4 linked regions of the Lepisosteus oculatus genome follow. The protein of the gene in region 1 interacts with the protein of each later gene in a pairwise test. Links are inferred from orthologs where the notes say so. Each region holds a gene or a part of one and is shown in the gene's direction. Other genes may lie near its edges.

Region 1 (7,714 bases):
ACAAGTTAAATAAAAGTCTAAACAAGTGAGTAGATCAATTAAGCAATCAATTAGCACTGGAGAGTTGACGCTCAGCAGGGTTGAAAACAAGCAGACGCTACAGTATGTTTCTCCAGGACAAGTGTTGGGAACCATTGTGAAAGGTCACTGATATTTATTCACTCCTGGTCGTGAAAGAACACTATGGCTGCTGGTTTTAATTCCTTCCTGGAACCCTAATGACATTATTTAAACCAATTATTTGCTTAATTGGTCTTTACTAACATGAAAATATTTCCACGTCCTTACTCATTAAGAACTATAAAACCAATAAAAATGGACCGCTGCCTTTCAGGACCAGGAGTGAATATTACTGTAATCTGATACAGGCAGAGATGCCTTGAAAATAAGCCCAGTATTGCCTGGTTTAACAAGCAAAGGTGAAATGAAAGAGGCTTATAAAGTCTAAACTGAACATGCAATCGATACCCAATTAACACCTGTACTCACACAGTGGGATTCCTTGTGGATTTCAGAAGCTTTCACAAGATTCTCACATCTTTTCAGGGAGCTCAGAGCTGGTTTGAGTACTGAGTACATCTGGTCTTTGAGAAACCTCCCCCACACCACTCTGTTACTACCTAGTAAACCTTTGCTTTCAGTTTGGTTTATGATGTTATGAATAATAGATGGTATAAATAAACCAACAATTATGTGCCACAGGATAGGACAGTGAAGCACAGACTATTCTTAGACCTGCAAAATATAAAAAAAATATATGTATTGGTCTCACAATAAGACTAAAACTCTTATCATAATTGGTGTGCATTGCGGTAAAACGTAAATAAATGGCTATATATAGTTTTAACAATCATTCTGCTAATTCTGGGGCATCATTGTTACATGTATTTACAACCTTTTTTTACAATCTAAGTCCTATTACTATACCTCCTCCATCTTCTTTTGAGTGCCTTGTTTTAAATGTTTCTATCCCCCAATCTACTACTACTGCCACAGTTTATAGACCACCCAAACCCAGTGAAGCCTTCTTAGGTGAGTTTGTTGACTTACTCTCATTTTTATGCCTTAAGTTTAAAAGGATCCTTATTCTAGGGGACTTTAATATACACATCGATTCAAGGTCTTCTAGTCTGGCTAAAGACTTCCTTTATCTATTGGGATGTTTTGATCTTGATCTTGTACCCCTACACATAACAAAGGACACACCTTAGATTTAATTATTGCAGATGACTCTTTTGTCTCCCACTGCTCTCCCCTTGATCTAGGCCTCTCTGACCGCTTAGCTATTTTTTTCAACCTGGAATTACCTGTTTCTAACACTTCCCCCTCATGCTCTATAAATTTCCACAACTGGCGATCAATTGATCACCCAAGGTTTTCAAATTCTGTTCTGTCCTCCTTATCTTGTTTCTCTTCCACTGACCCTCTAGAGGACAGAATACAGTTACGTGACAGTGCTCTTTTATTTACCCTCGACACCTTTGCTCCTTTAAAAACTCGAACCATCTCCTTCTCTCGCCCTGCCCCCTGGTACAACGACCATCTGCAAAATTTGAAGGCAGCCTCTCGCAAACTTGAGCGTAGGTGGCATCTTTCTGGCCTAAATGTACATTATCAGGCTTGGAGAGATTACTTGTCTAAATATAAGGTTACTATAGAGTCTGCTAGATCAACCTACTTCTCTCACATCAATGAAAATCACCAAAACAACCTCAGACAGATCGGATCACAACCTTGTCTTGCTTACACCACTATACAAGCCTATTGTCCAGCGCCAACCTGCAACAATGAGAACTGTGAGGAGATGGTCTCAGGAGGCTATGGAGGATCTACGTGGTGCTTTGGAGGCCACCGACTGGGATGTGCTGTGCGAACCACATGGGGACGACATAGACAGCATGGTGGACTGTGTCACTGACTATATTAACTTCCCCACCAAAGACGTACACTGCTTTTCCAATAACAAACCCTGGATCACCAGCGACCTTAAGGCTCTTCTGAATGACAAGAAGACAGCCTTTAGAAGGGGGGATAAGGAAGAGGTCAAGCGTGTACAGAGCGAACTAAAGCAGAAGTTAAGAGAGAGCAAGGACGTCTACAGGAGGAAGGTAGAGGACAAGCTGCAAAGGAATAGTGTGAGGGATGTATGGAGGAGCATGAGAGAGATCACTGGCTTCAAACAGGCTGGGGGTGCAACAGAGGGGAACCTGGAGATGGCCAACGAGTTGAACTAGTTCTTTAACAGGTTTGATTCAGGGCCCTCTGTGGCTAAACACCCATCCTCCCATTGCCACACGCTCCGTAAGCCTTCACAGCTGCGACTGCCCAACACCTCCTCCATCCCCCCACAATCATGGCCACCTACAGCTACAACACCCAACGCCCCCATCCCCCACAGCTGCCACTCTCCAACACCTCCGCCATTAACACCTGCAGCACTGACAGTGCTATGAGCACCATCCACCAGGCCAGGCTGACAATCACAGCTGACCAGGTGAAGAGGGAGCTGAAGAGGCTGCACCAGGGTAAGGCCACAGGACCAGATAACATCTGTCCCAAAGTTCTGAGGGCTTGTGGTGATCAGCTGAGTGGAGTGCTCCAGCGACTGTTCAACCTGAGCCTGTGCTTGGAGAGAGTCCCTGTGCTCTGGAAGAAAGTGTCTGAACAGGTTGTAAGTAACACAGGGGCTCCTCAGGGGACAGTTCTTTCTCCATTCCTCTTCACCCTCTATACTTCGGACTTTAAATACAACTCAAAGTCATGCCACCTGCAGAAGTTCTCAGATGACTCTGCAATTGTGGGATCAAGGGTGGGCGGGAGGAGAACCGGGGACTGGTCAGCAGCTTTGTGGAGTCGTGTGAGGAGAACCACCTGCAATTGAATGTAACAAAGACGAAGGAACTGGTGGTAGGAGGTAGGAGGAAAAGGGACAAACCTACTCCTGTCTACATGGGAGTGGCGTGGAGATGGTGGACTCATACAAGTACCTGGGAGTGCACATCGACGATAGACTGGAATGGTCTAAGAACATTGAGGCCATTTACAAGAAGGGTCAGAGCTGACTTTACTTCTTGAGGAATCTCAGGTCCTTCAATGTATAGTATGTAGTAAGATGCTACATATGTTCTTTCTTCTTTTTTTAAGCATGGAATAAACCTATTACTTGTTCCTTTGCAGCCTACGCATGCTGACGCAGCTACCCACCTGAATTAAGACTGAAGTCATCCTTATTGGCACCCCTCATCAACTTCGTAAAGCCAGTCCTGTAACCCTATCTGTAGATGGTTCTGTACTTGAGCTTCAATCTAAATTGAAAAACCTTGGGGTTATATTCGATTCTGGCTTAACATTTGACACATGTGCAGCATATTGTCAAATATCTTTTTTTCACCTCAGAAATATCGCTAGACTACGCCCTATGCTATCGTTAACTGTGGCTGAAAAGTTGCTCAACACATTTGTGTTCTCTCGAATTGACTATTGGAATGCTCTACTCACTGGGGTATCTAAATCTACTTTGAACAAACTGCATTATGTCCAAAATTCAGCAGCCAGAATCCTGACCAGGTCTAGTGCAAATGATTACATTACTCCTATCCTGGAGTCCTTGCACTGGCTTCCTGTCAAATTCCATGTGGACTTTAAAATCCTCCTGGTCACCTACAAGGCTCTGCATGGCTTGGCACCTCAGTACCTGTCTGAACTATTATCACCCTACTTTCCACCTCGCAACCTTCGCTCTTCTAATTCTGGTCTCCTTACTGTCCCCCAAGCCTGTCTACATTGTAGGGGTGACATGGCTTTCTCCTGTTATGCCCCCAAGCTCTGGAACTCTCTGCCCAAGGATATCAGAGAGTCCCCTTTAGTGAACCTTTAGTGCCTTTAGTGAACTGGTTCCATTCTTCAACTCTCTGCTTTTCTTGGTACCACCATCCACAGTCTCCTCTGTATATTGTAATTGTATTTTATCTTCTGTATTCTTTTTATTTATTGTTGTTGTCATTCTGTAAAGCGCTTTGAAAAGCCACCATTAAAGGTGCTATATAAAATAAAGTTTATTATTATTATTTCTAATAATTTCAATTCAAAATATATTAATCTATTAAACTTGCTTTAAATATGGAGGATATAATGACTTATTGTAAAAATGTAGAATTTCTTATAATGTCTCATTACCTCATAGATGTATAGTCACATATATTTTTCAGTTCCAAACAGGATAAAATTTAATGGGAATCATTATGACATTCTGGAAAATGATATGGATAGTCAAAGCAATTTGATTTGCATACTTCCCAGAATGTATAGCCATTTTTGAAAACATGCACTGTATTTCTTTTCTTCATCAGAACCCTATTGTAAATGTAGAATTCAATAAATTGTACTAATAATCACTTCTTATTTTTAATAGTATTATTTCTGATAATACCATATCTCTATCATTTCAATCGAGTGTAGAAGTTAGTTTTCTTAACATTAAAAATCGAATTATTAAGATAATAATCTAGCTGAGCTCTACAACCACGTCTAAATATGATTCTTTAAATTTATTATTTTTAATAAAAATAATGTTTTTGTTCGTCCTCCTTTTTAAAATGTCTGCTATAGTGTTCTGCACGGACTACTTTAACTGTTACTCTGGGGAGGATGGGTTTCCATAGGGACTGCATGTACGCTCATAGGGAGGCGGTTTCTTTGAACCCAATTCAGGAAGTAAATTTCAAGTAAAGCCAAATTTGTTCTGTTTTGCTTATTAAATAAGGTAAGTTTATTAAATATTGTCTTTCGTTTGATTGTTTCAAAACCCATTTTATTTACAGCTTTTCTAGAAAGACGTAAACATAAACAGCGGTTTAACAAACACGAATAACACTATTTAAAAAAAGAACCTAAAACGATGATCCGATTTTAACTCTTGAATATTGTCTGTCTAATGTATTAATTTAATGTATTAAAAATCCATCAGTCACATGTGGTAGTTACATTACTGCAAGGGTCTACGTCGGAAGGAAAACAAGTGCAATAAAAGTCATTATTGCGTCATGTTGATTCTGTTCCAAAGATTTTAAATAAAACTTTAATATCATTTTGATTTTTACAGTGTTTAAAATGTATTGTTTGAGGAGGTGTGACCCACCCTTTTCTTCTAGTGTTCAAATTGTTTAAATGTCATGCACGAAAACGACCTTTATAAATACATTTCAACATTTCAGTGCTGTGTAAAATGCATTATTCTCACAATTTATTGTGATTTCACTCAAATGGGTCACTTCGTCGGCTTCGTCTTCTCTTTGCATCATAATCATTTGGAGAGTGAGTTTTTTTTTCTTCAAAATACCACACATGCGTAGAAACTCCCTTATATATCTAGAACTTGATGCTCATTTGTTCCAAGTATATTTTTTTCAAAAATTAAAAGAATAGTATTTAATAACACTATACCTACAGAATTCTGCATTGTTTGGACTGTGATCTTGTGCGTGATATTTCATGTTGGAGTGGCATGAATGGTTAGCAAAATCCTTTCAGTTCGAGGCTGGGTCCTTCATGGTGTCTAATGAACACAGCTGCCACATTATAACAACAGTGGGTGAGACTGGTGACACGGGCTTTCATCTGCAGCAGACAGGATTATCAGTGAAAACACAGACTGTAGATGTTAGGTGAAGAGACAGCCCTTCTGTGCTGACTCACAGCACTCTGATCAGAGGCCTTTATCTTTGGGAAATCGCAACTCACTGCCTCCTGTCTGCTGAGGAGGAAGTTGGTTCGTAGTCACAAATGATCAGTGACTCGCATCCCCTTTCCTGTCAGTACAGAATTTATTGTCTGTGTGGACAGGGGCCAGTCGGGCACCTTAAAAAACTGCCTGGCCACTGTGGACCGAAGTCAAAGTATCACATAAATCTGTATTCTGTTACTGCCTGGGCAGTTCAAGAAGTGCCGATTGGTCTTTTCCACAGCACCGCAACAGAATAGAAGCAGTAAAAGTTCAGAAGAGATATACTGCAATCAGTATAGCTTTAGCTTCTTCTTTTACCTTTTCCTTTGTGTTTAAGGATGCCAACAACAGCATCACAACAATTACTAATGCAATTACTAATTACTAATACATCTCAATTCTGTCACTGACAGCTTCCAGTAAATCCCACCTCTGAGTCATTACCTGTCTCTCCATTAATATTTCCAAGTGGCTGTGGTGTTGCAGGAAGTGTCTGGACAGGAGCCAAAGTTAGAGCAGATGTGACTTACGCTCCTGCCTGCAGTACCTGTGCAGTTTGCAAACTGAGTTTATTTTTTCTACCGTTTACCCTGTTCGTCTTCCATTCGGTGTTGTCTGTTTATATAATTGTATACTTGAATACAAAAAATATTGGTGTTGAAGAGTAGCCACCACAGAGATTCGATTCGAAGAGTCACAATAGGAATTTCCTGAAATCGTGTGTTCTGTTTCTAGGAATGTCCTCCGGATTTAATTGATCTTTCTTTGGGAGGTACTGCAGCCATGCTGGACGAGGGGGACCTGGATGCGCTCTTGGCCTCTAAGGAAAGGGAGTGGAAGGAGCTGCAGGCCAAGCGCGTTCAGCAGTTGGAGGAAGCACTGCGGGACACCAGAGCTCAGCTGACCACGCAGGGGGAAGTGTTTCAGCGACTGAAGGAGGACTTTGAATTCAACCTGCGGGTCCTGGAGGAGAGAGACCGGGAGCTGGAGCGCTATGACGCCATGGCCGCCCGCCTGCACTCTGTGGAGAGCGCCAGGCGGGCCGAAACCAGCGAACTGCGAATTCAAATCGACAAGCTGCAGGAGGCCGTTTCTGCCGAGGCCAGGAAACGGGAGGAGCTGCAGAGGCTGTACCAACAGAGAGTTGCTGAACAGCACCTCCAGCTGGAGACAGTACAGAGGTGATCCACTGTATTTCCTCTTGAGGCTTAGCTCCAAGCCTTAATGCTTTGTGATTACTTAATTGAGAATAGGTCTGTACAGTTAGTGCACAGCCCAAAAATGAATAGAGGCCCTAAGCTGTTTCTAAAGCTCTTGGCTTTAAAATGTGTTTTAGTCCACTCTGATCACTTGCATTCTTTAAGACTTATAATCAATTGCGTTCTTTATGAAGAATAAACATTTCCATTACTGTTTGAAAAACCATACTGTTAATATGAAATTACACTACAGAAACATTTATGGTGAATTAATGTTAAAATCAGAAAAGCCTGTAGCGCCAAATGATAGAATTAAGATGCTTGATTTTAACTTTTTTGTTCACCCAGTAGAAGAAACTCTTGGGGAGTGGGGATCTTAAAGACCAGGGCTTTTTAATGGATTTGCCAAATAAAAAAAGTTAAAGAAAATGCATTTTAAAAAATTGTGTATCCATCAAAATAATGATCTAAATATAGCAGTCACATGAGATTTGTGAGGAACACTTGGACCAGACTGGACTTGGGGAATAATTTCAGCCTTTCTTTAGCATCACGATATGATAAATTGTTCACCACTCGATAGAATTTGAGTGATTGCTTTCTATAAGAAATATGTTCCTGAGCTCTGGAGGCTATGAGCTAAAGTCAACAAATGAAATAAAGCCTGTCTTAACAAACATGATTACGAGGTAGTACAGCAAATAGATATTACCAAGAGATGAAGAAATGCCATCCCGCATTTAGAAGTGTGATGAGTCATTATTTCCAATTACACATGGTTGCTTAATGATTT
Region 2 (7,667 bases), on another chromosome or scaffold:
CTTTAGGGTGATCTAATCAGTTTTGGTAATATCACTTGCTTTATCGAATTGCTTCTGTTGCCTTCTAAGTTCATGGCCAGCAGTTAACCTAAACTCCTTTGCTTACTCCAGCTGGTGGAGCTCTCCAAAGCTCAGGACATTGAAGCTGGTGATGGGACAACTTCTGTTGTGGTGATTGCAGGTGCTCTTTTGGATGCTTGTGCTAAACTGCTTCAGAAAGGTAAAGAATTTCCATCTTGTTTGTTTGGAGTCAGTTATATTTTTTTAGTTTTCTAACCAGAATAAGTCAACTAGAATAAGTCCACAACCAGGAGAATACCCATTTGTACATTAAGGCATTTACTGGAGTAAATAATGTGATTAGGCTTGCATCAGAGTACAATAACATCCCACCCGGAATTTGATTCCACAGCTCTCTGATCCGCAGTTCAGAGCTCTAATCGCTAGTTTGCATTGCCACAGGTGTATGGTAAGTGTTGTCCATTTTTATTAATGTTGATTAATGTGATTTTGTTGTAGGAATCCATCCTACCATTATTTCGGAATCTTTCCAGAAAGCTGTGGAGAAGGGTGTTGAGGTTCTGACAGCCATGAGCCAGCCTGTGGAACTGAGTGACAGAGAGTCTTTGTTGAACAGTGCCACTACGTCACTGTGCTCCAAGGTAAATCATTTCAAAATCTTCTATGATAAAGGCATTATAAAATGTTTAGTCATCACATAATAGTTTCTACTAGGAATGCCCTTTTGAAGTGCAAGATGAAATGTAACTATTTTTATAGTTTAAATGACTGGTCATTTCAGTTGAATATCTTTTTTTGTTTTATCCCTGTCCAGGTTGTGTCCCAGTACTCCAGTCTGCTGGCACCAATGAGTGTTGATGCTGTGATGAAGGTGATTGATCCATCTACGGCCACGGGGGTTGACCTCCAGGACATTAAAATTGTGAAGAAATTGGGGTGAGTTGACAAGGTGCAGTAGCTGTGCTTTTGATGGGGAAATACATCTAGGGGTGTAACAAGAAATTGTCAGAATGGAAATTAACAAAGTTTTTATTCACAGGGGAACCATTGATGACTGTGAGTTGGTTGATGGACTTGTGCTTACGCAGAAAGTAGCAAACTCTGGTGTCTCTCGGGTTGAAAAGGCAAAGATTGGTCTTATTCAGTTCTGCTTATCTCCTCCAAAGACGGATGTAAGTTTAAAATTTTCACTTCTACAGTAATTGGCGTTGTGGAAGGACTATGTAGTTGTGAAGTCAGATGGTGTACTGACATTGACCTGTTTTTGTCTGCTAGATGGATAATCAGATTGTTGTGTCTGACTATGCCCAAATGGACAGAGTGCTACGTGAGGAGAGAGCTTATATCCTCAACTTGGTGAAGCAAATCAAAAAGGCTGGATGCAATGTGTTGCTCATTCAGAAATCTATTTTAAGGTAAAGTTCATATCCATTTGCAATATAAATCCATTTTGTATTATTCTTGTTATACTGCAGCTTTGTTCTGTTTTTTTCTTGTAAGTATTGTGAATTAAGTTTATTAATGATCATTTAAAATATAATTCCAGGGATGCACTGAGTGACTTGGCTCTTCATTTCCTAAACAAGATGAAGATAATGGTTGTTAAAGATATCGAAAGAGAAGATATTGAATTCATCTGCAAGGTAAAGAGATAAATTATATTTTATGTCAACATCTTGTTAGCATTTCTGAACTGAAAATGGTTAATTATGATCTAACTTTTGTCTGCTACAGTTATACTGTTTTCTTGTAAGGAATTCTTTACCACCATAGATATATTTTGTATTTGTGATTGCAGACTATTGGAAATAAACCTGTGGCCCACATAGACCAATTCACAGCAGATATGCTGGGCTCTGCAGAGCTGGCTGAAGAAGTGAGCTTGGATGGGTCTGGCAAGCTTGTCAAAGTAAGTCATTTGAATGTCAGCATAGTTTTTGAAGAAATGTGCTTTTTAGATGAAGCAAAGAGACTTAACATGATTTGTTATACAGATTACTGGCTGCGCAAGCCCCGGAAAAACTGTCACCATAGTGGTGCGTGGATCCAACAAGCTTGTGATTGAGGAAGCGGAGCGCTCCATCCACGATGCCCTCTGTGTGATCCGCTGCCTAGTGAAGAAAAGGTATTGCTACAATTTCAGTGTGGGTGCTTTCTACACCAAAGTAAGGTTGGAGTGCCCTAATTGAAAAAGGGTTTGTGTCACACGCCTTATTGACTGGCGAAGTTGTGAAGAACTTCATTTAAAATAAGTGACTTTTTAAAAAAAATACCCAGTGCAGTGTTGTTTAATAAAGGTCATATAAAAAAAAATGAAAGGGGAAAAATGTATCGACTAACAGCTAAATTACTGGTATGTGGCTTTGTATGGAATAAACTGCTTCTAGATTTACTACATCATATAAGCAGTTTTTAAAATTATTAATGAATTGTTTTACCTTGAGCATGAGCTCCTGAATGTTGGACCCTAACCTTACCCTGCCATCCCTTCACAGGGCCTTGATCGCTGGGGGAGGCGCTCCAGAGATTGAGCTGGCTCTGCGCCTGGCTGAATATGCCCGCACGCTGAGTGGCATGGAGGCCTACTGCGTCCGTGCTTTTGGCGATGCTCTGGAGGTCATTCCCTCCACGCTGGCAGAGAATGCCGGGCTCAACCCTATCTCCACTGTCACAGAGCTGAGGAATCGGCATGCGCAGGGAGAGAGGACAGCCGGCATCAATGTCCGAAAGGTAAGCTTCCTTCTTCAAGTGTAAGGGGACCGGGAAGAATAAGGGTTTTGCTGCAACTTTTCATCATGCAAAGGTGCCACAAAAATAACGCAAAAGATTTTGGTTCTAAATGTTGTTTACAATGTACTGAAGGAGTTTATTTTTGCACGTCAAAAGTTTTAGCAGGTCTGACTGAGGGAGTCCTCTGTTTTTTCCACAGGGTGGCATTTCCAACATCTTGGAGGAGCTGGTGGTGCAGCCATTGTTGGTGTCAATCAGCGCCCTGACTCTGGCCACTGAAACTGTGCGCAGTATTCTCAAGATTGACGACGTGGTAAGGGTCCTTATTACGAGAGCTGCTCTAACCAGTGCTGAAAGCTTGTTGGGGGATAAATGTGGGATGAAGACTCTAAATAAGAAAAGATAATTTGATGCACTTGTGATTCAGAAGGAAAATTCATTTTAACAGGCAAACTGGATGCCACATCCTAACTTGCTGATTGATGCCTTTCTAACTCCTGAATCGCCATCAGTACAGCACTTCTGCAGTGATTCTTTATAATGTAACTAGAAGCTGTATATTAGCTTTCAGTCATGCTAAGACCTATAGTTAAAAAAATCAGATATTTACTAAAGAGATGGATACATCTACTAAACACTTTTTCAGTAAGTTATAAACTTTTTGTTTTATAATTTAAACTGTGTTAAATATTTATTTGTGTGTTTTGTTTATGGTGCACTGATCACAGGTTTCTGACAAATAGCCAGTTTCGTTTTGTCCATATTGAATATTTAAGCAGATGACTTCTGTAATGGAAATACTCTGTAATGTGATTGATATTTAATTTTACTGTGAAGTTGTTGAGATTTCTTAAAATAGTTACTTCAAGACATTGCTTGTAGTTAACTTGGATAAAGTGCAGTAAAATATTGTTGATGACTTTAAGATTATAGTATAAACTTAAATCAGTTAAAGGTTTTTTTAAGATCTGTATTAGATTGTGCAGAGTATTTAAACACTATGTTATAAGTAAAATCTCAAACTGAAATATTCTTTTTCAGCTGAACACTCGGTGAAGTCCTCTTCTGTGGATTCAAGAAAGGTCAAAACGTCCTGGCCCTTCGTACAGACAAGGCCTTGATTTAATGTAGTGAGCCTGCAGACCAATGTCACATATGTAGTCTGTTAATCTGTACTTGTTAACTAATTTAATAAATCTTTTGAGATCAAAATGTTTGCCTTTTTTTAGCAAAAACATTATTTGGTTGCAGCTTTTGATTACCAGTGTGGTATCCGTTTGATTTTAAAATGGTGGACCTTTGTCTTAATTTGCGTTGTATTAAAACATGTTTGATCTTGCATTATTCTTCATTTAAGCTTTACATGAGCATAACACATTGGTTTAAATGTTTCATCCATGTCCACACATAAAAGAAACTTAGATTCATTGGTAAAAGTAAGCTTTTTACAGATTGCCATTTCTCAAATTGCCTCTTGGACTGTCAGGGGATCAAGAGCAATTAAAACAGCTCATCTGTTTGTTTGAAAAACACCTTGAGATGTTTTTCCAAAAATTGAATTGTAAAAGACCACTGGGGAAAAAAGTTATTGGAATATCTGCAGTGGAGACAATGCATGAGTAGGTATAGTCTACAATATTAGCTGTTTTTGTAGAAAGGTCATTAACTTAAATTTCCAGAGCAGCACCTCCTCCAGGCTTATGGATTAACACTTGCGCTGTCACTTAGACTTTTTTAAATCTTTAAATCTTATTGAACAGCTTTGTCAAATAGAATGAATCTGAAGGACTTTCCATGCTCCAAACCATTTTAGCTGCAATACGTGTAAGGGCATTACACTTTATATAGAGCGCTTAACTAACTGGTTACACCGCATTCTCTGTTCAGAACAGAAACATGATTTCGTGTAGTGGGTCCAATTAAAGAGTGTGCTTTATTATTATAGTTGGAGTTAATTCAAGGTTGCCAAATGTGAAAATGCTGAGCTGTACACGGGACTGGTGGAAACGCCGTACCTTAAGCGATTAGAGGAGTTTTGGCCCAGCGGCTGCCCCGTAGAGTTAACTGTAACCAGGGTTGCAACGCGGTTAGCATCAAACAGTAGGATTAGGAGTTACGGGCGTGTAGGACGTCAAAGCACTGGGAAGTAGCCTGAATTTCTGAAAACCGAAAGCGAGTCAAGTGCAAGACAATGGAGAACTCGCACCGTGTCAACGTCCTGGTAACTTCGTGTCTCAAAACCCCCGTGAACCCTCTTACCAAAGCACCAGTTGCTCTGTTTGAGAGGGAGAGCGCTGCTACACGGGGCGAGAGGTCCTTACCGGCGGAGCAGACCCGTACCCGAGATTATGAGGAAGAGGTAAGAGTACCGAAATTAAACATAGAATTGGCAAGAGAAATCCTGTTCCTGTGACCGTTTCACTGTAGCGCTGAAAATGTTTAATGAGTATCTCTAGATTATTTTTATATTTCTTTCTGGTTTGGGCATCGGCACTTTACCGTCGCCAGTCAAGCTAAGACTGGTAGTGAATGGTAGACTGGTAGGCTCCAGACAGTCTTGCAATTACCTTGAGCCTCAAATATTTTATTCCTCATTTCCACACCTTCGTTGTAACCATTACAGAGGAACTGTTTAAGAAAACGTTTCCTAAAGTATAGAAGACAAAGGGCCCGAAATAATAAACTTAAAACGAAGGTTTTTCTTTTCGCGTTGTTAGAATTCCACCAAAAGCTAGACTATTAATTATTTAAGAGGATTGGAGTTAAACACCCTTTCTGGAAAGAAAGCTTCTGCGATTTGTAACTATTCTAGGATGCAGATGAGACACTAACGTTTAATGGATTACAGGGGAGAAAAGTGTGGCTCTTTAATCTGTATTGTACAGAGCCACTCGAACAGCGGACAGGTACAGTGGGATACTCATTTTTCACCCTTTGTCTGCACGCTGAGGTGAGGCAAATATTTATACAGTATTTAAATGGACCAAATGTTTTAGTGGATGATTATATTTGTCATTAGAAATATTAATATGTAACTGTTTATGGCGAGGTATTGTTAAAATTTCATAGCATTTTCCCTTAGGGGGATTTTAATTTGTGCAGATAAATCACTTGTGGTATATTGCATACTTGGGTAGTCCCTTGCGACCCTAAATTGGAAGAATGGGTTAGAAGATGAATGCTTGTGACTTTCTCAGACATTCCTCTGAACACCCGAAGGAACCAATGTGTCTTGAGTTGTGAGCATCGGTGTAATGGAATAAAAAAATATATATTTTTGGCATATTGATACCTGTAACCTATTTAGTATCTTTCTTTACTTTCTGTCTTGGCTGTTCAGTATCTTGGTCATTATAGAAGATGAGCTTGTGTTAAGAATACACATGTACCTTTTATCACTGTTGCTACAAACATCTTCGCACTGCTGAGTGCCATATGGTCACTTCAACTAATGAGCTTTGTGCTCTAATGCTGAGAGGATATGGTATTCAGAGAGTGGTTTGCTCTTTTATAATATTTCCTTAGGTTAAAGTATGTGTCTTCTAGTTCAAACCTGATGTTCACCATATTGTTTGTGAATGACGAATTAAATATGAAAGGAGACCTGCTGTTTAAAGGTTACATTGTAAAACAACAAAGTTAAACTTAAACCTGTGTTTGTAAGTTCATTATGTAAAATATAATGGTTTATCAGTGATGAAGATTTTGTATTTTCAGTGGAGCCTCCAGTATGATGGTTAAATAAATGCAAAATAAAGTGTATTTCATACATATTTAAATCTTCATCACAGCGCTTAATATCCTGCCTGCAGTGTAGTTGAGCTGAAGCATAATTTCATCTGTTGCTTTAGGCTTTGCTCTTATTTGATTAATGTTAATACAATTAAAACTGGTTCAAAAATTGTTCTTGGAAACCTCGACCTTGTCAGCATGCCATCATGCCATTTTAATTGAATTATTCTTGCTTTATTTTGTGTTGCAGAATGCATATGAGTCGGGCTTAGAGTGTGAGGGCAGGAAGGACAGTCCTGTGCTGATTAAGGACTACAGAATGGCTGGAGACTGTGTGGATCTCCAGGAATTTTACTTCTCCAATGAGGAATACTACAGAAAACTGGAGGAACTGAAGAAAGCCCATCTGCAGACCATGGCAGAACTGGAAAGGATGTATCGCAATAAGATGGAACTCAAAGGAGTGGCAGCTCCTGACAATGAGTGTGCAAACCCTGAGTTGTTCTGCAGGTTTGTCTTTCTTGGTGTCCCCAGTAACCTAAACACCCCCTAAAGTGAGACTAGAAGCCACATTGGATCTTAGATTTCTCATCAACTCACATCATCACTGCTGAGAACAAAGCGAATTTCGTAACAGAGTTTGTGGTCAATATATTCTTTAGAAAGATGCATCTACATAATACGAAGTATTGTAGTTATTCAGATTTTGTCTTGCCAGGCAGTAACTTATGGTAACAAATGTATTAACATTTTCATCACATTATTAAAGTTTAAATTTGCAGCTTAACCAGTGAGACCTATGTGTGTCTATATTCCAGACTACTAAATATGTAATATATTGAGTTGCAGTATCTCAAACCCTTACTTTACCTCAGATTTAAAGCTCTGACTTGTACTTGTTCTTTTTCCTAGATTGCAGAACAATAGTCCAAAGCCAACAAAAGCATTTCGAAAAGCCTTTTCTGCGAATGACCTGAATCATACTGTTTGTTCAAGTTTGTCAGATACATCAGATGAAGACGCAGCATACAATGAGGCAGGGGATGTTGAAAAGGGTCTGCTGTCATCTCCCAAGGAGCACATTAAAAACATGTGGGATGATTTTTCAGTGGATGATTATGTGTCCTGTAAGAGAATGCAGTCGAGTTCTTCTCTGAAAAAACAGCAGACTCAAAAGAAACCCA
Region 3 (7,359 bases), on another chromosome or scaffold:
ATAGATTCAGAAGAGGTGGGTCTTATTTAACTTGCATTATTTGAGCAAGCAACAACATTGCTGGATACAAGTGGAGCATATCAAATTAAGGGGTTCAATGTTATATTAAAATTATACAGTGCACTCATAAGATTTTAATGAGAATGCAGCGTTCAGTTTTGGTTGTCAAGATAGTAGAACTGCACTGCCGCTCTTGAATAAGTGCAAAGAGGAGCCCTCTTGGGCTTAAAGGAATGTCCTGTTCTAACAGGCTAAAGGGACTGAAATTGCTAAAACTTGAACAGAGAAGATTATGAGGAGACCTGGTTCAAGTATTGAATATCCTAAGGGCATTGCCCAAGTCATCGCAATGAACATTTTCCAATCCATTGTTTTCAAATAAAACAGAGAACAGGAGGCACTTTGTTACACAAAGGGTGGTGGGGGTATGGAACAAGACACCCAGCTGTGTTGTTGAATCTGTTACTGTCCCTTTCCAGAAATGGTCGGATGATTTTCTCAGATGAAACTGGCTTCCAATAGCCCCTCGTTCTTAATACAGTAAAGACGGGGCAAAAAGGGTTTTCTGCATAAGCAACAGCAGCAGCTTGGCTGCCTTCTTGTTTGCAAAGTTCAGGCTATTGTTGGGAAACACCGCTCTGATTTAAACTTGGCATTGCAGCTCCGAGGATGCAGTGATACCTCATATGTCCACTATGGGTCTTTATTTCAGTACTTTCACTACTTTATTTCACTCACACTGTTCACGCAGGTGGGACTTGGAAGCCTTAAAAAAAAGCCTTCAAAAAGGCTTGCAGTTTTATCATGAATAATAAAGTTCATCCTGCACCATTTGGGGACCAAAATCTATTTGGATTCCTGTAAACTAACAGCGATTTTACATGGATCCTGTATGTGTCCTTGTACCTGGCTTGCAGGAAACTTTGATTTCCTCTGCAATTCCTAAAGAAATCCCACAGCACATTTAAAGGAATCCAGCAGGAGTTTTTGTGCAGGGTTTTTCCATGACGTGATGGCCCACACACTGAATATACCATACACAGTAAATGATATCTTGATGAGCCAGGATTTAGAATAGTTACGGTGTAGAATGTGTGGTCAGACCACCACCTCAGGCATTTCTTTTTGTTCCTGCGCCATATTGCTTCCTGATGTGGGGAAGTTTAATGTTCTTAAATGCCCGGGAGTGTAATATCATCGTAATGGAGTCTCTGTGAACGAGACCCGTGTTACACATATATAACTGAGCTACTTGCAACCACAGTAATCCCAAAACAAATAACAAACCTCTCCTGTTAACCTTTTTTGGGTTTGCAACAGGAGTGAAGAAATCCTCAGACTAATTAGGTCTGGTTTGTAACAGCTTGTGCAATCGTGCATTGTAGCGGACAGCTTTTTGGAACCTGATTGATCACCAGTTTCCCTATTTGCTCTTCCCTTAATACGTGCTGTTTGAAATTGAATGTGCCTTAAAATGTGCCTTCCTTGGCATCAGATCCCATCTGCGGCATGAATGAGGTATTTAAGATTCCCGAGCTGGTGACATAATATAGTGTAAACACAGGAAACAGCAGCCATCAATAAAGATGCAATTTACTTTCCTCACTGAAGGGAGAGTGTGTTGAGTCATCGTGACCATTAATTAAATTGTGTTTCTCTCCTAAACCTGTAATTCTGGGACAGCTTCAGTCACGACATTGAGAACTGGGGAGGGAGAAAATGGAAACACTTAAAACGCAAGAAGCTTAGGTGACTTTACGCCGTGAGCTCCCGGTGAGGAAAAATTGCCTTTGTTAATTCAGAAGGCAGTCTTACTCACCCACCTTTCACTCTGTTAAGATGAAAACATGCAGACAATCGCATAATCACGCTTTAGATCTGTTACAAGCTAAAAGGGCTGTGTTTTTTCCATCTTTGTCGTGAAGCACTTGGCAGTATTAGAATACACTTCACCACACACACAACACTGTACAATAGCTCAGTTTGCCACAAGATTTCTAGAGCTTGTGGGACAAATCCCAGCATCCATGTCAGGCCCTGCATGGTGTGTTTGTGCCAGTTCCACTTGGTGTCTCATACACGTTCTCTTATAATCAAGGCTGCTCATTTTATAGTAGTGCCAGGCAATACTCCGAAACATGAATATGTATTGATTTTGATGGGTACTGATATCTTTCTCTGGGAGCGGGGGTATTGTGCTTGCAAGGAATAGATATTCAGAAATTGGGGAATAGGAAATGAGAGAACTTAGATATAGAATCTTATTGGAATGAAATTGTATACCGGTATGACTTTGTACAGTTATGGAGGCACAGAGGCAATTTGTAATTACATTTTCACCCACCTCTGAAACAGGCCCTTGCTATGAACTGTGCACTGCAGAGGCAAAATCGCAAGTTTGTCGCATCACTTTAAATCAAAGTGCTCCAGTCAATAATTCTGCTTCTGTTGGATACACTTCTGGTTGCATTTACTACACTACTGTGCTAATGTCCAGTTAAGATAGCCACTCAACTGTTTTGTATCTGTTTATGTACGGTAGTGTGTTATGGATAAAGTATACATTACTTCCTCCCCTCCACCTCCTGAGCTGTCAGGTACAAGTCTCTTGGTAGGTTTCTGCAGCAGCTGATGAACCTGAAGTTGATTCTCTGGTTTTCCCAGTCACAACAACTGGAGGGAGATGATCAGATCCTCCGGTTATCAGACACACCACATCTTGAGGCAGCTGATCACATCCTCTGATCATCAGAAACACCACATCTTGAGGCAGCTGATCACATCCTCTGATTATCAGAAACACCACATCGGGAGGCGTCTGATCACAGCCTCTGATCATCAGAAACACACATCGGGAGACAGCTGATCACACCTCTGATCTGATCACATCCTCTGATCACATCCTCTGATCATCAGGATCAAACATCGGGAGACAGCTGATCACATCCTCTGGTCATCAGAAACACCACATCAGGAGGCGTCTGATCACATCCTCTGATCATCAGGAACACGCATCGGGAGACAGCTGATCACATCCTCTGGTCATCAGAAACACCACATCAGGAGGTGTCTGATCACATCCTCTGATCATGAGAAACACACATCGGGAGGCAGTTGATCAGAGGCAATGAGTGCCTGTGCACAATGAGTCAAGGTGACTTCTAGCTGTCCAGGATCAGCGGCACTCACACGCTTACAAATCGCTCGTTGTAAGCGACCACATGGGAGCCTTCAGGATGATGTGGGGTCTGTTACCGATCATTCCTGCTTTTGAACAAATGAAGCAGATCTGGTGCTATTACCCAATAGCTCAGATCCTTTTATTTAGATTAATTCAATTTTCACCCACCACATGTGAGCAGTGTTTTCTCACTGTTCTCTGTAATTATTTTCTCATATAAGAAGAGAAGAAGAATTAACAAGCCCACACAACTGATCCCCCAGAAACCGCACGTTGTGAAAAAAAATAGGAGGGAAGAAATAGCACTTCCAGAATCACTTACAGCATGCTCCAGGGATAGCGACTTCTGCTTCTCGAAGGGAAACAGATCGCCAATCGCTTTAAAATTGTTTTTAAGCCTTTTCACCACCGGTTTTCTCTCTGCGTTGTTGCTAACTGCCCCCCATTTCCAGATCTCTAAAACTGCACGTTTGTGTACCCGAACAATCCCCTTAAAAAGAGAATGGTAATCCCCACTGCTCATCACCACTGCATCGGCAATAGAGGACTGTTGAGAAATCTGAGCCGCGAGAAGACAACCCCGCTGTAGAATTCTTCCCACCATCCCCTCCCGGCCCACTCTTCCTCCTCTGCCCCCGTGTGCTGGCTGCTATGACAGTTGGTGTGTCATCAAAGCAGCAGGCAGACTGGGCATCGAAAAAGGACCTGTGTAGGTGTGTGGCTGTGGGAGCTCGTTCTGGGAATTCGCATTTGCCCCCTTCCTTTCCTGTCTGGTTCACACATGCCACTGATGGCACTTTTCCCCACAGATAAGATGAAAGACTGATGGAGCTCGGGGGAAGGCCAGCAATATTCCCGACCAGAGAGCACAAGTACACAAGCAGGCCCCTGCCGCTCCCAGTAAATGTCTTTCTAAAAAGCAGCAGAGCTTTGGACTGGGCGTTTATTGGGAAGAACAGCAGCAAAGCTCCCCTGTCATAAAAAGCTCGGCCTCACCTGGCCGGGAAAGGGCTCATTGAGCTGGAGAGGGCTGCGTTAAAGCAGCTCGGCCAGCGAACAGTTAACTCCCCCCCAGCCTTCTGCTCGCCTCCCTCCCCTCCACTAGCTGTGACATCACACACGGGGCAGCAGCCAATGGCAGCGCGGGGGCCCGCCCCTCCCGGCCCCCCCCCCTCCCCTCGTCTGCTTATATCTCCCCTCAGCCCAGCGCAGGAGTTGAAAATGTGTTGTTGGCGATCCGGGAGGCAGCACGCAGAGTGAGCTTCAGTGCTGCTGGCTGCATTTTTGTGGCCGTCTTTTCCAGCTGCCTTTCCTCTCCTTGACAATGAGCGGGCTCCCTCAGCGACTCCTGGTGTAATGGGTTGCAAGTCCGGACCTCTGGCCTGCCGGCAGACTCAGGCCCCAGAAGCCCAGGATGCCGCCTCAGATGGGACCCCCAAACCCCCCGAGCCCCTCTCCACCCTGGAGCGGCTGGCCCAGGCCACGGGGGGCGCGGAGAAGTCCTGGTACCGCTGCATCTTCCCTTTCGGCGTCATCTCGCTGGTGATCGGGGTGGCGGGCACGGGCGTCACCTTCTACTTCAACAACCTGCAGCAGGCCAAGGTGGTGTCCGTGGTGCTGCTGGGGATGGGGCTCGCCCTGCTGGCCATGGCCACGGCCTGCTGGCAGGTGCACAAGAGGAAGAGGAGGAAAAAGAAGGAGGGGGGCTCCTTCAGCTCAGAGCACTGCCCCCTGTGAAGAGCAGACACAAGACTGTGCCCCCCCACCTTGGACCTGGACTCGAGCAGTGTCTGTAGTGGGTGAGGGGTTAAGCCACTGGTCGCCTCGGCTGTGGGATTGAACAGAACTGCGGGGCGACTGGGTGATACAGGAGGTGCCCTCCTGGCACCCTCTTTCCCACTTCTCCGGCGCTTTTCCTCGCTTTGCTCCTTCCGGAACGTCGGCCACCTGCTGCCCCCAGCCGGACAATTCGGCTGGCCGCAGGATATCTGCTGGGAAGAAAGAAACTGCCTGATCCGCGGGGGTCTTTCAACTGCTTTTGTCACAAGCTCTTCTCTTTTTCTCTTCAATGGAAAAGAAGACGACAGACCCTCCCCCCCCACAGGCGCACGCGGACGCAGGCGGTCTGAGTAGAGTGTTCTGACAGGCAGGGAAAGCTGGCTTCCTAACTTCACATGTCTGAGAAGGATCCACTGGCAGAGCAGGGCACCTGGTGACACTACAGATATTGTGCCACTGGACACCGAACCTGGTATGTTCTGCAACTTGCTTTTTTTGCTTGAAGGAGAAGTCTCTTTCACTTTCCCCTCCCCCCCCGCAGAGGGACTTCAGCGCCAGAACTCCCAGTCCTGGCTGAATGCCTTTCCCAACTCCACCGAGATCACAAATGTCCGTCTGAGCTAGCTGATAAGCTCCGGCTGCGTTCGGGAAGCGTTTGGAAAGAAGCCCCGTCTGACGCGGAGGTTAACTTTCGCTTTGGAGTCCCGACCCGTGAGAGCTGGTGCTGCCGCTCACACAGAGAAACCGCGCTGGGGGCAGCAACCCGTAAGAGACGGTTTCGGCGCTCTTCCGTCGTCTCGCTGTCGGGAGCTCCATGGCCGGCCCAGGATGGGACACGGGGCTCTCCAGAGCCCAGGGGGGTCACACGGAAACAAGTCTGAGATCCCTCCTGGCAGCAGTGCCTCAGCCCCCTTAAAAGAACAAGATCTGCCTGAATTCGACCACAGTGCCTTGTGTGTGCAAGGTGTGTGGGAGAGGAGCATGTGCTTCTGTCACCACGTCAGTCTGGCCTCTCATCCTGCCTGATGCCTGATGCCCGCTGCTCCCGCTGACTGCCAACCCCACTGGACTGGCCCACGGAGGGGGGGTCCCCCTGCACGCGGCAGGAACCAGACTCAGCAAGAGCCCCGCTTTCTGTTTGCTCCGAGAGGCCGCCAGCTCCCTCCCCCCCTCCCTTCTCGTGGCTCAGAGCCCAAAAGGGGGGATTTCAAATGGATGTTAACCTTTTGTCGCCCACTCCTTTCTTCCCTTTCCTGCCGGGAGACAGTCCGCGCCAGCTCTCTGTGGAAACAGCCGACGACAGCCAAGCAGGGGCATTAGCGAGCCGAGGGGCTAGGAACCGAACAGACAGGTTTGTCGACTGCGAGGTCTGTTGGCTGAACATCCCGATATCCTTGGTTCGACAGTATTTGTGAATGCTATTAACCCTGGGTCGGTTCTGTATTGGTTAGCTAAGTATGGGTAGTTTTCAGATTCACTTAAGCCCTAAGCTGTATTTTTGTTATGTCGTTTTCTATGGTTTTTCATCAGAAATTTACAATGAAGCTGTGTACAGTATTTAACAGCTGGTGTAACGCTTTATTCAACTGTGTATATATTAAAAAGTAAGTAGGAATGGTGCAGGTGTGCAATATCTATTCTTAAAAATGCAGAAAGCACTGCTAGATTCCTAGCACTGCCTTCTTAGGTCATACCTGCTGTTCAAACTTTCTGCCTGATCTGTGTGCAGTGTAGAGTCAGAGTGCAAGAGAGGTTTAATAGTACAAGGATGCCAGTATGGCCTCAACACACTGTGCCATCCTCATTAAAATACTTACTGCCTTGCTAAAACCACAGTCTTCTTGTGTCCTTATTAAGAGCATGGAGCGAAGCTGTAAATGTTAAATCCTTCTTTCAGCTGACTTGCATAAGCGTTCCTACATTTGCTGTGAAAGTTCCTGAAATATCTCGTTGCATTCCTTTTTCAAAATGCATAGCAAATTTAGATACAAATTTGCCAAAAATATACAAAAAATTATAGTGCCTATAAAAGCATAAGCAAAAGCAAAAATCTCTGCTGAGAACTACAGCACACAGATTTTAAATTCTGCTGTACAATGAGTCTTAAAGGCACATAATGTAACTGTGGCTCTAAGCCTGCTTATTAAATAAAAAAACATATTAATTACCTCATATTCCCTGCCTATTCCCCAATCCAACCACATAGCTATGGTTGATTATGGTGTTTTCTAACCCTGCCTTCAGTAAAACAGGAGGGTATTTTCTAAACAATACCAGATTCAGCTACCGAATGTAGTCAGCTATTTAGTATTGTTAACACAGGTTTTTGCGACACAGCATAGCAAAAATGACTATTTGGGCAAAAAAAGAATATTTGAATATATTGCACCTCATGTCTT
Region 4 (7,747 bases), on another chromosome or scaffold:
TGAGCTGTTTCAGAACAAGCCCCCCGCCCCGCCCTGGTACTTGCCTTCCTTGACGGACTCCGAGCGCTTCCTGGAGCGCTTGCTCCGCCTCTTCTCCTCCTCCAGTACCTTGTCGTCGAACCCGATGAGCTCGATGGTCTCGGACTGGCTCGTGGGGCCCGCCGAAAACCACTCGGGCTCCTCCTCGGTGTACGAGTCGTTTCGTCTCCTCTCGCTGAAGACCCGCTTGTCACCGAAATCCCTCTGGGCAGGCAGAGACAGGACACCGCCGGAGCGTGAGACTCTCTGCGACCGTACCTCTGTCCTCTCCCCCACTGGGATAAGCTCAGGAAGGGGAGAAGATCGCGGTGGTGGTCTCTCGCCGTCTGGATGAGCCTCCTTACAGTACAGCCTGGGGGGGGTCTCTCAAGATCTGGGCAAGACTGTGCCACGTCAAGACGCACGTCACTGCAGCTGGGAGAACTGTGGTCACACTGGGGGAGGGGAGCTCAGCTGCTGTACCGCTGCTGGACTGCACGGCCCACTCACACCAGCACACCACTGAGTGACGGGAGAGCACAGCGTGCCTGAGCCTCAGACCAGACTCCCAGGGGGCAGCAGTGTCACTCGAGGAACATGTTTCCAGCTTCCACCCATCCATCTCCTACCCACTTCTTCCAATTCCGGGTCGCGGCAGAGCCGGAGCCTGTCCCGGCAAGCGACGACACAAGGCAGGGCACACCGTGGGAGGGACGCCAGTCCATCACGGGGCACACGCGGACTCGCACCGGGGCGGGCGGTCCCCGAGGCTATTTAAACCACGGTATGTTTTTGGACTGTGGGAGTACACCCCTACAAACACGAGGAGAGCATGCACACCCCCCAGGAAGGATGCCAGGGCCCAGCCCCGTGAGGCCGCAGTGCCACCCCGTTCCCAGTTCGCCTAGTCACAACGAGACTCGGCCCGCCGGAGCAGAGGGGGCGCTGCGCTCACCCTGAATCTCTTGTCCTTGAAGTCCCTCTCCCGGGCCTCCTTCTCGCCGCGCGCCTCCCGCTCGAAGCCGCGCGCCGCCATGATGCGGCCGCTGCCGATGCGCCGCGCCGCCCCCAGCCGCAGGCTCTCGTTCTCCTTGTTCTCCAGGGGGGAGACGGCCCGCCGCGCCTGGGGCCCCAGCGCCGCCGTGCCCTGGCAGCCCCCGCCGAAGCTGCGCCTCTGCGGGCTGAGCACCACATCCAGGTCCTCCTCCTTCAGCCTGTCCCGGGGATCTGCAGCACACGGGGGGGGTGAGGAGAGACGACTCGGGGGGGGAGAAGAGGAAACCGTCCATCTCTCACACACACATACACACACCCACCCACCCTCGGGGCTCCTCCCTCACCTGCCATCCTGCGCTTCAGGGGGACCCGGTCGTCTCCGGGGTAATCCTTCCTGTACCCCTCAACCGGCGAGCTGCGCTCCGAGCTGGGGTACAGGGATGCATGCCACTTTTCGGGGTCCCACACGCCATCGCTAGCACGGGAAGGAAAGAGGGGGGGGTTTCGAGCTCGTTTTGGCCAGCCCAGAGGTGCGCATCCCTCAGCTCTTAATGTAACCACTCACCGGGGCGGAACAAGTCGACTGAGAACAGACCCAGAACCGTCGCTGCAAGTCACAGATCTAGTGCTGGGAGGCAGGCTCCTGTTTCTGCCCCCAGTAAACCACGGGTCTAACAGTTAGACTACCCAGACCAGCCCGCAGGCAGCTGAGGACGGACGGACGGCGAGGGGCAGTACCTGTCGTACTTCTCCAGGAGGCATTCAGGTCTCTCGTTGGAGCAGGGATACTCCTTCATCTCCAAGAGCTCCTCCTGCGACAGCAGAGCCAGAGCGCCTTACAATTCTGATTTAACACAAATACACTTTTACCCAGGTTCCTGTACTAGTCCGGCTTGTGACGGCACCCTTGGGGACATGAGATCTGATCAAAACAACTCCAACTTGAAGACCCCTTTTGAATAAGCCGCAACACCTAAGCACAAGTCAATGCTTGAGCTCAGGTTGAAGTAAAGAATGAATTGAGGGCGCGATGGTTTTTGACTAAATGAATGACACGGACCTGCAGCCCGGGCCCGTTTACTGGAGCAACACCCGCTCAGTGTACAGCGGGCCCACAAGCCCGAGCTCAGAGGGCCAGTTTCTTCCCCGAACAGCCATCTCGTCGAGCTCGGGGGCAGCTTTCGAACCCCGCCCGAGGCAGGCGGCCGCCCCAAGGAGAGCCAGACGAGAGAACGTTTTGAGAAGCTGCGAGGAAGCGACGCCCGACGCCGGCCCCTGCCCGGCCAGCTCCTGGCGTCGCCAACCTACCTTAGTGTATCTGTAAGGCGACGTCCTCTCCGAACCCCTGGGAATGGCGGCCAGCGGGCCGCCGCCCTCCGGAGCCTCGGGGTTTGCTGCCTTTTCCATGACTCTCAGTTCCAAGCACCTGCCCGAGTCAGAAAACAGCCCTCAGCTTTGTGATGTCACTTTCACAGGACAGATAAACAATCCCGGGTCAGCCGGGCCCAGCGCGCATACGCTCACGTCCGGGGGGCGGGGGGGAACGTTCTGCTCATCGCTCACCATGTCCTCCGCCTGACGCAGGACATTTCTATATCCACCTCCTTCGGCGGCCCCGAGCGCGCACACACCCACGCTCCAGGGCTGCAAACACACTGCCGGGCAGCACTGTGGCACAGCACGGGGGCGCCGAGTACAACTCCAGACCTGGGGTGCTGTCTGTGTGGAGTCTGCATGCCCCCCCTCCCTGCATTCGTATGGGTCTCCTCCGGGTGCTCCGGTCTCCCTGCCAGTACGCGTCTCCTGGGAGAAACCGGCCCTGCTGCGGTCTGCGCGTGCCGCCCGGCGTGTACCCTGCCTCGCTGCTTGCCGGGATAGACTCCGGCGCCCCCGTGACCCTGCACTTCATGAAGCCGTTAGGAAGCGGATGGGTCGACGGAACCTTGCTGGATTTAAATGGGACCTCAATCCAGAACACTCGTCGGTTACTCTCCCTCGAGCAGAGAGCAAGCGCACGGCGCCAGGAACCGTCTTAAATCCGTTCAAAACCGCTTTGTCAAGTAGCGGATCACGCCTTCACAGTGCAGCAGTTTGTCCAGCCCCCAGGAAGACAACCTGTAGAGCTCACAGCAAAGCGGTCCCAAGCCATCACATCAAGCAAACTTTAAGAACCCGACCGGAATCTGTTTTTAAATCCCACTTGGCGGGTTTTAGACGGGAACTAGACGAGACCCCTCAGTGCCCAGCAGTCTGATGCCGGGGGTCCGGCTACCAGTGCGATCAGCCGCCCTGCGCTGGTACCGAGGGAGGAGGCGGGCACGTCCGCTGCGCGTCACCGGCCGCCCGCACCGAGACCCGGCCCGCTTCGGGCAGCTCACAGGTGTGGACGGCGGCTTGAAACCTCCACACCTGGATTTTGTTGTTTTTTTTTTTGTAAATTCACGGTCAGTCTCTTGGATCGTTGAATTCTCGTCATAACAGATCAACTTCCAGCCGCAGGTGCTTTCGGCGCTGCGACGGGGGATTTTAAACACTTAACCCGGCTCCTCCGGCTGGCTGCCGGCTCCACCAGCCCGGCGGTCTCGCCAAAGCCCGGCCAAAGTAATGAAAGCTGCCCGTCGTGTCGGCCGGGCAAGACTGTCCGAAAGACGAACTTGGCTCAATAATGCCGAGAGCTCCGGCTAAAAAAGCAAACGGGGTGCCCGGGCCTGGTCTCAACTCTGAAACTTTTCTCCCGTTACCTCCGGCGACTGCAGCAGTTTGAGAGAAAATCGGTGAACTGCCCTAGACAGCAGACGTCCTCCTGCGGCTTCAATACTCAAACGTTGCACCTTTTGTCGCCAGAGCTGCGTGTCGCTTTGGGCTCCGAACCCGACCGGAGCAGCAGGACCCGGAGTTCGGCTTTAGTCTGCTACAGTTTCTCGACGCCGGACGCCGCCGAGAAGCGGTCAGCTCATGACAAAACGAGTTCGACCCGTCTTACCCGGGACCGGAGTGCGGTCGCTCCCCTTGCCGCGGTCTTACTCCGAGAAGAGAGCGGCTTTTTCACGGGACTGGATGCAGACGCGACCGGCAGACGCGACTCAGCCACAAAAGCAGAAAGCAGCCTAAGAGCCGCGCTCTCTACGCCGGCACGAAAACAAAGCTTTTAAAAGATTGGAATAGGCGAAGAAAAACCCGCCACCCCACCACCGACTCGTGATATCTCCTCCCCGCAACAAAGAGCGACCGACGGAAGGCTTATTGTCCGCCCGGCTGTGCTGTCGGAGCCCAAGCCGGCGATGGTGGCCCCGCCGCCCGCCTCAGTGTCCAACTTTACCTCGGGGCTTCTCTCCGCTCTCCGGTCCGCCTCTCCGCCGCAGCGAGATCCTCTCCCAGCAGCTCACTGCACAGCGAGGGGGGGGGGTCTTCGCGGGGATTATATACAGCTCAACCTCCGCCTGACACCACTGTCGGCTACAATCTCGCTCAGATGTTGAAGCTGAAGCCTCTCTCCAGCGCAGACTTGCAAAATACTCCACCTCCTTCGCTGCTTGGTTTTGCTAACGAGGGGACGGAGGATTTTTTAAGGTCGCCATTTGTAGGACCCCGCAGGCGAACGGCGAGGGCGCCTAAGCTGCTCCCTGGCCAATCACAGCGCAGGAGCGCCGCGAGCCCGAGGCTGAGACTGGCGAGCTGCGCGCGACGTGTGGGGGGCGTGGGCAAGACGTTAAAGGAAGGAGAATGTGTTTCACGTCATCAAGTGTTTAAAAAAAACAAATCTTATACCGCATCTTCTCTTAATACCATTGTCAAGTGATTTGATTCGGTCTGATACACTCTGCAGTTTTAAACTTTGAAGTGCTTAGAGTTTACTGCATATTCTTTTGACGTACCTGTTTATGTTAAGCAAAACAATTCCACTGATATTCCCTGACCGGTAACAGATTAGAAAAAGGCTGCAGTGAAAACTATTGCTGTCCACGAATGGCAGAGGGAGAGCAGAACTCTGAATGGGCATTCTGAATGCTGAACAATTTACCTAGTTTATAGGCGTACTCTGTACGGTAAAGATGTGTAATATATATATATAGTATATTTGTATCGCCCCTGCCTGTGAGTTTGTAGTGTGTCCAAGACGCAGAGAAATCCCTGCCCGGGGTGAACTATGCACCCAAGACCGAAGTCAGTTTTGTTTACAGCCAGCACATAAGGGATGCTTAAAGAATAAGGTAGTTGGTCAACACGAATAAATAAAGGCCGCAAAAATGCAGTCATTTCATTCCACCGGTACTGTCCTGCTCGTCCAGAAATTCAACAGGAACGAAAGCCCTGCGCGCTGAATTCGAACCCCAGTTTACAGGACATCAGGAAAAGAGCCTTGCTAGCGCTGTGCACGTTTTACTGAACAAGAAAGCGCTTGTTTGGGTGGTGGGCTGCCGATATTGAAGGGAGAGCGGTCGCGCACGCCCCCTCCGTGCACTAGGGGGCGCCAGCGAGCCAGACACGCAGCTGCTCGGCGTCGGGGTGCCATGGCAACCGGGGCAGCCGGTGCATTGTGGGAGCGCGGCGCCGCCAGCGAGCGGGCCGGCGGGACAGGAGGCGCTCAGAGACACAGACGCGCTGAGAGCAGCGGAACCGCGGAGGGGAAACCGCTACACAGTCGAGTGGATTCGAGAGGTTCGTGTCCGTCGCCGAGCCCGGCGGGCAGGGGGGTTCGGCCGGTTCGCTCAGACGCCAGGCGAGGTGAGCTCCGCGGTCCGGCCGCTGCCCGCGCTCTGCAGGCGGCTGCAGTCGTCTCGCACACCCCCTCTGGCCTCGGCTTCCTTCACCACGCAGAGCCGGCAGAAGTGACAAGACGCTTGGCCGTTGCTCTAGCCCGTATTCCTCCCAGAGTGGGACAGCGCTGCTTTCAGAGGGTGCACAGTACAGTGCCACCTGCTCTCCAGGCACTGGACTGTCCAAACAGAAGCTCATCACTTCTGACTAAAACATAAAGTTCCTTCAGAGAAACGGCTTGGGTGCAGCCCTTCCGTTTGACGCCGCAGAGCTGACGCGGGGACACTCGTGATGCTGACCGTGTCGTTGAGGGCGATTCAGCTGGACTGGTCAGGGAGTGTGGTCACCAGCCGCCGCAGGGCAGAGACAGAGGAGCAGCTCTGCGGGTTTCTGTCCCGCTGTCCCCTGGAGCCCGAACACCGGTCAGCCCAGCTCGCCCCACTGGGCGCCCCCAGTGCAGCCGGCTGCCCCCTCCTCGTCTCTCACGAGCTGGGTGAGGACAGGTGCTGTCCGGCTGGCGGTCACCTCGTGTCCCGGCCCCGATCAGGGTGGTGCCCTGCGGTCAGGCTGTCCTCAGGCCCTAGCAGTGTGGCCCTGTAGCGACTGGACTCTCCTGGCCCGGCCCCCACACTCGGCCCCCCGTCCATCAGGACAGGGAGCCGTGACTCCGGGTCTCCTGGACAGGGGTGTGATCTCGCACCAAGCTAATCTGAGGAGAGTGACGTCATCGTTTTCTAGCAGGCACACTGAAATTGTCTTGAACAGAGCTGGCGCAGGTGAAATCACTGGTCAGGGGGGTTGACGTCTGTCGGTCTGTAGTGGCTGGACTCTTCTGCCCTGACCCTCACGCTCAGACTCTCCGCTGACTGAGTTCGAGCGGGGGGCCGTGTCAGCACGCTCAGGCTGCAAGGGAACAGGTAAAGGTTTATTCCCCGCGGGGGAGGGAAAAAGAGGCACAACGTTTCGGCTGTGGAGCCTTCTTCAGGTGTCGCCACGGCCGAAACGTTGCGTCTCTTCTCCTTTCAACGTGGAATAAGTTTTGGGCCGTTGTGCACCACAGTCAGTGTGTCGTCCGGCCCCTCGGTGCCACACTCTCCGACACCGTCATGGTCAGCGACCCTTGACCTCTGGTCCTCACTGAAGAGGCCCTGACTCCCTCCTGATGAGTCTGTCTGAGGTGACTCAATCCAGCCTCCAAGTCCCCGATGAGACCGAGGCCTCTCTCTGGATAAGGTTCCTTTGTGTGGCCTTTCTTCAGGCCTGTTGCTCACAGCGGGGGAGATCAGCTCTGTCGTGGCCTCACTGACGAGGTGACGGGCTCCTGCAGCAGTCAGAGGAGCCTGCCTGAGTCACGCTCATGACTGAACAGAGAATGTAAGCAATACCCCTAATCTGTAGGCTGTGTTCTTAAAAAAGGATGAGAAATTTGGCAGCAGGTTTCAGAAGTTCAAGTAGGGAGCTGTGTCAGCATGTGTAGGCTGCAAGGGCTCAAGTACAGGTTTATTCCCTGCTGAAAAGAGAAGGATTCCTCTGTCAGTCGCAGGATACGAACCAGCAACCTTCCAGCCACAGGCGCAGATCCTTAGACACAGAGCCACCGCTCCGCCCCTAGAGAGAGGTTAGTTCATTCAAACGTTAGTTCATTGTTTTTCTTCTCCTTTCAGTTGTTTCTTATATTGCTGTCTGTGTAATCAGAAAGACTTGAACCAGGCTGCAGCTGGACTGATGTCTGGATGTCAGGAGCAGAGCAGGCCATTTCAAATGCAACACAGACTGAGTCCTCTCTCCTCTCTCCTCTCTCCTCTCTCCTCTCTCCTCTCTCCTCTCTCCTCTCTCCTCTCTCCTCTCTCCTCTCTCCTCTCTCCCCTCTCCCCTCTCCCTGCCTCAGCTGTCCTGTGCGCGAATCAGTTTCGTCTAGGAGCCCCCGCCTTCGGCTGCCGCGCCGTGCCGACCGCGAAGATGCAGGGGGGCCCGC

Evidence for each region.
Region 2: the proteins of ccdc57 (region 1) and fam161a interact in binary tests that used the Homo sapiens proteins (3 or more experiments, as listed by UniProt). The two-hybrid records come from large-scale screens. The link is inferred for Lepisosteus oculatus from reciprocal best matches to the Homo sapiens genes CCDC57 and FAM161A.
Region 3: the proteins of ccdc57 (region 1) and transmembrane protein 100 interact in binary tests that used the Homo sapiens proteins (3 or more experiments, as listed by UniProt). The two-hybrid records come from large-scale screens. The link is inferred for Lepisosteus oculatus from reciprocal best matches to the Homo sapiens genes CCDC57 and TMEM100.
Region 4: the proteins of ccdc57 (region 1) and sfi1 interact in a two-hybrid assay, tested with the Homo sapiens proteins (2 studies listed by BioGRID). The two-hybrid records come from large-scale screens. The link is inferred for Lepisosteus oculatus from reciprocal best matches to the Homo sapiens genes CCDC57 and SFI1.

Annotation. Positions count from the first base shown.
Region 1 is NC_090704.1:39,519,326-39,527,039, forward strand, and holds the start of ccdc57 (coiled-coil domain-containing protein 57), read left to right. Parts: upstream 1-4,674; 5' UTR 4,675-4,762; intron 4,763-6,457; 5' UTR 6,458-6,505; coding exon 6,506-6,903; intron 6,904-7,714. UniProt on the Homo sapiens protein: Pleiotropic regulator of centriole duplication, mitosis, and ciliogenesis. Critical interface between centrosome and microtubule-mediated cellular processes. Centriole duplication protein required for recruitment of CEP63, CEP152, and PLK4 to the centrosome.
Region 2 is NC_090712.1:9,716,316-9,723,982, forward strand, and holds the start of fam161a (protein FAM161A), read left to right. Parts: upstream 1-4,615; 5' UTR 4,616-4,942; coding exon 4,943-5,110; intron 5,111-6,733; coding exon 6,734-6,993; intron 6,994-7,395; coding exon 7,396-7,667. Other genes in the region: cct4 (T-complex protein 1 subunit delta), read left to right, coding at 112-220, 520-662, 836-957, 1,061-1,193, 1,297-1,436, 1,568-1,664, 1,820-1,930, 2,016-2,146 and 3 more. UniProt on the Homo sapiens protein: Involved in ciliogenesis.
Region 3 is NC_090714.1:3,669,131-3,676,489, reverse strand, and holds transmembrane protein 100, read left to right. Parts: upstream 1-4,394; 5' UTR 4,395-4,537; coding exon 4,538-4,918; 3' UTR 4,919-6,790; downstream 6,791-7,359. UniProt on the Homo sapiens protein: Plays a role during embryonic arterial endothelium differentiation and vascular morphogenesis through the ACVRL1 receptor-dependent signaling pathway upon stimulation by bone morphogenetic proteins, such as GDF2/BMP9 and BMP10.
Region 4 is NC_090717.1:705,153-712,899, reverse strand, and holds the start of sfi1 (protein SFI1 homolog), read left to right. Parts: upstream 1-4,666; 5' UTR 4,667-5,525; coding exon 5,526-5,739; intron 5,740-7,309; coding exon 7,310-7,390; intron 7,391-7,660; coding exon 7,661-7,747. Other genes in the region: eif4enif1 (eukaryotic translation initiation factor 4E transporter), read right to left, coding at 45-243, 974-1,245, 1,359-1,489, 1,753-1,826, 2,323-2,440, 2,578-2,750. UniProt on the Homo sapiens protein: Plays a role in the dynamic structure of centrosome-associated contractile fibers via its interaction with CETN2.